Coturnix japonica: one gene and its partner. The protein of the gene in region 1 purifies or fractionates together with the protein of each later gene. This does not show direct contact. Links are inferred from orthologs where the notes say so. Each region holds a gene or a part of one and is shown on either strand. Other genes may lie near its edges. The genes, in order: KATNA1 and KATNBL1.

What was found.
Region 2: the proteins of KATNA1 (region 1) and KATNBL1 purify together in Homo sapiens (affinity purification with mass spectrometry; 3 studies listed by BioGRID and IntAct, counting the BioPlex papers as one, with this or other methods). This does not show direct contact. The link is inferred for Coturnix japonica from reciprocal best matches to the Homo sapiens genes KATNA1 and KATNBL1.

Annotation. Positions count from the first base shown.
Region 1 is NC_029518.1:43,361,206-43,365,025, forward strand, and holds part of KATNA1 (katanin p60 ATPase-containing subunit A1), read right to left. Parts: intron 2,156-3,820; 5' UTR 2,152-2,155; coding exon 1,981-2,151; intron 1,296-1,980; coding exon 1,138-1,295; intron 1-1,137. UniProt on the Homo sapiens protein: Catalytic subunit of a complex which severs microtubules in an ATP-dependent manner. Microtubule severing may promote rapid reorganization of cellular microtubule arrays and the release of microtubules from the centrosome following nucleation.
Region 2 is NC_029520.1:26,548,957-26,552,776, reverse strand, and holds part of KATNBL1 (KATNB1-like protein 1), read left to right. Parts: intron 1-664; coding exon 665-705; intron 706-1,065; coding exon 1,066-1,345; intron 1,346-2,556; coding exon 2,557-2,675; intron 2,676-2,846; coding exon 2,847-2,897; intron 2,898-2,992; coding exon 2,993-3,082; intron 3,083-3,629; coding exon 3,630-3,719; intron 3,720-3,820.

The DNA of each region.
Region 1 (3,820 bases):
AAGCACATACAAATAAACCAGTATCATAATGGACTTCATTTTTATATATCCAGGTACTTTCCGAAATCCAGTACATTTACAGATACACTTTTTCCATAGGAGTTCCTAAAATTCCAGCATCAATGAGCTACCAGCCAAGTTTAAGTTTAGGGATGTTTCTATAGAACAGAAAATGGAAAAGTGATTTGGAAAGCATTTATCCAAATCAGAAGATGTGTTTTGACGTTTCATTTAAGATTAATCAGGATAAATTACCTTCATAAAAGTTGAATTTAACTTATTCACAGGAGAAGGTTTGTCAAAAGCATACAACTGCTTCAAGTGAAATGCAAGTTAGGTACCAAGAATATGCTAATGATAAGATTATAAGCATTAAAGTCTTTTCACTCTCCAAATGAAGTATTTACCAACCTACACTTGTGTTTATGAATATTTAGCCACCTCTGGATTCCATTACAAAGCTCAAAGTAAAGGAATAATCTGTTCTGACACCTCAGTTCCATCAAAATTAGTGTGTTCTGCTGTCTCAGTATAGAAACCTACAGAAATTATTCCAACACAACATGACCAGTTTTCACTGTGGCTTTTTCATCTTTACAACAACCCACCAGCTAACCAGCTGGCATAGTAAACGGAACAGAAAGAGTTCTGTCCACCAAGACTTTTCCTTTTTAGAGGTGTTCCAAAGTTATTAAATGAGATAAACAGAAACAATGTGAACAAAAGACCCATTTCTTTCAGAAAGCAGGCTTAAAATAAATCTGTGAGAAACGGCCTGTAAGCACAGAGCCTCAAAGAACAATCTGACCATACAGCTATGTAGGTCTAACAGTTACATTCTGTCAAAACACACAGTTCCACACCTGTCTTGCATGCTCTCCTGTCCTGTCCTTCATGCTATCTCTACCAGTTGTTACAAACTCCAGCTAAGTAGTGCAGAAAGCCACCCTCAGGCAAAACAAAACAGAACAAGCAAATGAGATTTTGTTGGTTTGGGTTTTTGTTTTGCTTAACAAAAAATTATGCAGCTGGTGTGTTATATAACTCGTATAAACTCTGGAACAAAATCTTCACAGGAACAGGCTGAAGTCAAAGTACACTTTGCACTGGTAAGTGTTAATACAAGTTACTTCTTACCTCCGCTCAGCAGGTACTGGCAAAGACCAGACTTCTGCATCATTAGCTGGTAGTTCTTGTTGTGAAGCTTTCAGTGGAGTACTGTCTAGTTTAAAACTCTCTAGTGTTTTCATGATATCTTTCACGTGCTTAGCTTCCACGCTTATCTCCTGCCAAACCTGATAAATAGGGAAAAAACAACAAAAAAAGTGGATTAAACACAGTGGAACTAAGTAAGTTTGAAGCAGACTTCTGCTTAAGACTAAGTAATGCCTGGATGGTCTTCACAAAGTTTTGTAAACTACCTGATCCTACTTTGCTAAACCATTAAAAACATCCTTCTGCTTTTCCCAGGATTAAGGAAAAGATTTTGAATTAAATACTAATGAGACATTTGACAAACTTTGTTTAATAAACATTATACATGAAAAGAGAACGCAACTTTATAGAGGGAACGTCAATGAAGAATTAACGTCTTGTGATAAGGATAAATTAACATGGAAGCCACAGGTCAGTTTCAATTAAGGATCTGTAAGTCACACTACTGAAACAGGGATTACGTGAAATATGATTGCTGAGAACAGTACTAGCTAGAAAAAAACCCAAAACTTCAGCACAGCAGGGGCACAGATCAGCAAGAAGAAGACAAGGCAGACAGTGCAATGGCTCCTCATGGATGTGTTTCATAGTCTACTTCATCAGTATCAGAGCATAACAAAGCCTTAAATATATACATACTACAATACTACAGTTTATCAGAGAATTATACAAATCTTTTTATACTTCTGTTCACCACCAACAAAGCACTTTCTGCTAGTTTAATGCTTTACCCTCAGAATGATGTCCCAGAAATGGATTATTTACCTGTTGCCACTTCTGCTGCAGGTACGTATCTCTGACAGAGTAGAGGTATTTATTCATCTGGTCAAGAACTCCCTGATAGTAGACCATTGCAGAGTCATAGTTTCCCAGTAAGGCATATTCACGGGCCAGCTTTACATTCTCACTGATCATAACAAGGCTCATGTTCAACATGAAGCTGAAAAAGACAGCAAACACTTACATTAATGAAAAAATCCAGGAGGAAAAAACATTTTCGCAACTATTTTTACATTATTGTTACCCTAACAATCATATCTAAATATAGAAGTGGGAAATACTTTGTTAATAAAAGAGTTCTAGAATGTATGTCGTCCATACAGAAAGTTAATTGTTTCTCTATTGAAAGAAATGGAACTTCTCATTTCACGCAAGACAGACTCTGATGAAAAGTATATGCAAAACATGCAGATTTAATGCATGTTTACAAGCCAAAACTGCACACTCTCCTTCCCTCTTTGCACTACTGCAAGATAATTCGGTATCTTACTGTTAGTGCTACAACATCCTCTGTTCTATAACCATAATAGTTAAAAAAGAAGAAAAAACAAACAAAAAAACACCCACAGCCAAAAAGCCCCAAACTTTCCTCCAGATGCGTTAGCGCTACAACTATTAACACAAGTACAGCAACAACTGGACTAGAATAGAATATCAAGCAAAAACAGGAGTAGGGCAGACTCAGACTCAGTCTTCCCAATTCAGCCTTTGTTCATACAGCAGTCCTCCTCTGTTTTACATATCATTTACATATCTCATTCCACACCTGCACCATCTCTATCCTTCCCATTGCTTACTCACCAAGAACTGACCTGCTCTCCTCCAAATTGCCTAGAACTAAGCACAGAAAACACCCAAATAAGCAAATAAACAAGCCTGTGAGAGTTGTCTTGCTCTCATTTCAGTACCTTTACCCAGGACCAGTAAGGAGCAATTGCAGACAAGCAATTACTGCTAAGCCCTGGGATGAAGCATACTTGATACAGATCAACTATTTAAAGAATGTAAGAGGCACTGAATTCATACGCACAATAAAAGGACTTAAAACAAAACATATTTCAAGACCAGGTCATGGTCAAAATTGGACACATTACCAGAGGTGTCAGAAGTCGTACTGCACACCAGATAATCCACAGCTAAAATGTGATGTTCCCTCCGTAAGGAGGAATCACAGAATTATCAAGGTTGGAAAAGACCTAGAAGATCATCTAGTCCAACCATCACCAATACTTCCCAGTTAAACCATATCCCCCAACACAACATCCAAACGTTTCTTGAACACCTCCATGGTCGGTGACTCCACCACCTCCCTGGGCAGTGCATTCCAGTGCCTAAAGGAGGAGCTGCTAAGTACAAATCAAACATTTTAAGGTTTCCGCTCCTCCTTTTTCTTTTCTCCTCACACGTAACTTTATGCATGGATTAATAAATGCTGATCCATTCTTAAGCCAACACAACTTCCTCCTTCCTTTCTCCACCTGCCTGGTTCCCCTCGAAGCAGGAAGCTGATGAGAAAAGCTTCAGCCCTAGCAGCAAAATTTGGCAGCAGTGGAGTTGGCGAGCAGCCCCACTAGCCCATGTGTAGCCACGTGCAGGGCCATGCAGGAGGGATGGCACCTGCAGGGCTGGGTCTGGAAGCTCACTACTAGAGCCTGCACCACACAGCTCATTCTGCCCAGAGACCTGCTGAGCCTGCCACAGCCGCATCTGCAAACTGGGATGGTTCCCGTGACCAGCAACTACAAAGCCTGCCATGTCCCTGTGTGATTAGGCTCTGGAGACACAACTTGACTTGGGAGTATTGTTGCGTTTTTTAACCTCAGGA
Region 2 (3,820 bases), on another chromosome or scaffold:
CAAGAGATGGCAAATCTGAGAGGTGGGGTAGGAGAAACAGTTCTTAAAACATTGAATTTTACTATAAAATAAACATTTAGAAATTAATATTCAAATTATTGCTTATTTTTTAAGGGTTTTATGTATCTGTATGGTATAACTCAAATGAATTGTTAGTCCTTCATGATATTAACATTCTTTGCTGCCTCATTGGCATCAGGATGCTTATTTTTCCTGTTAGTGAATCTAGGATAATCAAACTGATTCTACCAACGTCAGCCTTCATTTTTTGTTATTGTTGTGCTTTGGAGAAATGTTTGCTGCTGCCATCTTTCCTGCATCTGCTAATCTGCTGGATTGTTGGCAATTAAGTGTTTATCAGAGATGGGTAATATTGCTTTTTTTATATTAGTCACAGTTTTTAGTTCTGTCAGTCTCTGATGTCACAATCCTACCTATTCCAAAGGCACCACAAACCTTTAGTTGATTGTGGTGCCACAAGGACAGCTGTACATCTGTATGTCACTGTGAAATAATTTGCAAAAATGCTACTGTAGCTGTGTGTCAATGAAATAGAGAAGGTGGCTGGGAGGGAATCTGCAGTGAATGCATTCCTTGAAAAAGCAGTGATACTGTTTGAGTCTTTTTAGTAATAGCCTGACTTTCTTTATTCCCTTTCTCCCAGGATAAGAAATCTCCAAAACAGCTGGCTTCATACACAAACAGGTAGGAGGGTCTTTCTGTTTAGAGTCTGAAGTTTCAGGAGGGAGCGAAGCAGGGAGGAAGAAGCAATTTAAATTTATTACAACACCCAAACTGTCACAATGAAAAATGGTAACTGTACTGACAGTGCTTGCTATTTGCCCATTTATGTAATGACTTTATTTTTAAAAAAGCAGAACAATAATATTGGTGGTAGAACTTATTTCTGATAACTCAAGTGTCATAAGGCTGTGTACTGGGGGTAAAATGTTGAAGTGGCCTGGAAGTTTAATGCTGAATTCATAATGATATATTTTAGATTCATATGAAGTATTGACTTAGGTTTAGAATTACCTTTACTAAAATATTCATGTGTTTTTGCAGAATAACAGTTGGAAAAACGGTGACCAGTCCCCTATTTCTCTTCAAAGCAGTACATTGTAAAAGAAAAGTCTATAGTTACACTGCAAAGCCTTGTTACAAGAAGAAACAGTTCCCTAAATCAAGGGGCTATAACATGGCAAATAAAGAAAATGAACTAGCTTGTGCAGGGAATCTGCCAGCAAAACTGAATGATGGTCGAACACACTTGCTGAATTCTAGTGACTCTGGCTCGTCTCAAACAGAAGGCCCCTCTTCCAAATATAGTGCATTTTTTTCAGAGGTAAGTTGAGCTTAAAGAAATCTGAGTTCAACATAAGTATTTGTAGTAGTTTTTGTGTAGTTGGCTGTGAAAGTTTTTATCGACCAGATTAGTTTTCTTAACATACAGATTGGCTCAGTTTGTGATTTGCAGTCTTTATTCCTCGATAGACTATGATTTAGTTGCCAGCAGTAGTAGTCCTGCCACTTTATCAGCACAAACTTAGATCTGACATCAAGCACCAAGTCAAAAATGTTGTTTTGTCCAGGTTAGATTTTATGACTTAAGTGGCCTAATTTGTTTTTAAGGTGTTATTGTATGGCTGGAAATAGCTAGTGAGGTTGGATGGGACTGTTTTTAATAGCTTTAGCTTGGTGTCAATGACAGCAATTTAAATTATTACATAAGACTGTTCTTACAGAGATTAGTAAGTATTAGTATGAGTAAAGTATTATTCTTTACTCATAGTAAAGAATTTCCTCCTAATATCTAACCTAAACCTACCCTTCTACTTAAGAAACCATTACCTTCTTGTCCTATCACTGTTCTACATGAGCAAGTCTCCCCATCTTTCTTGTAGGCTGTGTTTACATTGGCCTTCTTAATGTTTCCCCAAAGTCTTCTCTTCTGTAGCCTGATCAGTGAAAACTCCCTCAGCCTGTCTTCTCAGGAAAGATGTTCCAGCCCTCTGATTATCTTCATTGCCCTCCTCTGGACCTGTTCCGACAGCTCTGTGTTGCTCTTGTGCAAAGGGTCCCAGAGCTGGACGCATTACTGCAAATTGGGTCACACAAGAGCAGAGTAAAAGGGATCAACCACCTCCCTCAAACTGCTGGCCATGCTTCTTTTGATGCAGCACAGGAAATACAATGGACTTCCTGGGCTGTGAACTCACGTTGCTGGCTTATATTAAATATTCTCCAATTGATAAGCATCTAAACAAGCACTTCTCAGAGTTGGTGAGACTTAAAGGTTAATGCTTATGAGTGCTCTAATTATTAGATATCTCAATTCAGGTGTTTGCAAACTTTATTTCTGCAGATTTTGGGTAGAGTAGAAGGTCTGTTGGTGTCTGGTTCTAAGGTTGTTATTAGGAAAACTTCTAATAATTATACCAGGTGGTAAAATAGATTTTTATATACTCCAGCATTGCCATACTGAAGCAGCTTATTGTGTCATTGCTGACTACTTAACTTGCAGTAAATTTCTTCTGTATTCTTAAAAACATACAGGTTTCTCAGGACCATGAAACCATGGCTCAAGTTCTGTTTAGCAGGAATCTGCGGCTGAATGTTGCTTTAACCTTTTGGAGAAGGAGAAGTATAAGTGAACTGGTAGCCTACCTAGTGAGGTAATTTTTTCTCTCTTCCTCTGTATTCTTAAAGTGTAGCAAAACCCAAATATGATGCAGTCTTTTAGGGTTTCCTTAAATCTTGTAAATTAGCAATAATTACTTATTAATGGAAACACAGTTGAACCTATGTTCGACTAGTGATACTTGTTTTATCTTTCATGTTTCTAGGATACATGATCTTGGAGTTGTAGTAGACTGCCTTCCTGTGCTTACAAACAGGTACAAACAGAAAGTGGGACATGTGAACATGCTGTACCCACAGTGAATTTCTGGCACTTCTGAAACACCTTGTTTTTTTGTTTTTTTTTTTTAAGTTTACAGGAAGAAAAACCATATATTTCAGTTGGCTGCTGTGTAGATCTTTTGCCTTTAGTGAAATCACTACTTAAAAGCAAATATGAAGAGTAAGTATCAATTTCAGATGTCTAAATGCTCTTCCTTGCTGCTTGTGTTTTGCCCATGTATTTAAAGATGTTTTGTCCTCTGTCTCATCTTCCTTTCCACCAACCCTGCCTTTCTTGGGATAACACCTACCTAAAGGAGCCTCCGCATGAGCCCTCGTGTTGTTTTTAATAACATTCAGAAGTTTAAATTAAAAAAGAAGAAACTTCTGCAGAGTTAAGAACCACAGGGGAGGAGTTGCTTTTTGATGTCATGTAGATACAGTTGTAGATACAGTCATTCTAAACAGTAAAGCACAAGGGCAGCGAGGTTTCAGCATTTTCGGTAACACAAAATCAGTAAGACTTTCAGGTATAAGATAAATCTCACTACTTCTAAAGAAGAACTTCAGTTTACAACTTAAAAAATAAGAACACAAGCAATTGTCTAAAACAGAATTTGTCTAGGTTTGTCTTGCAAGACAGATGTGTTGCTTTCTAAGTTGCATTCTTGTATGAAGATATTAGCTGACCTGTGGATGTTTGAATCGTGTCAAATATGTTATTGCAGATATGTGATAGTTGGCCTAAACTGGCTTCAAGCTGTAATTAAAAGATGGTGGTCAGAACTATCTGCGCATAAAGAGAGGGCAGAGGATGGGTGAGTATAGTGTTGGAAAAACATTTAAATATTTTTGTAGTTTATTTCATCTCAGAATTCCTATTAATACTGATCAACAGGAGCACACCTTTTTATACAAA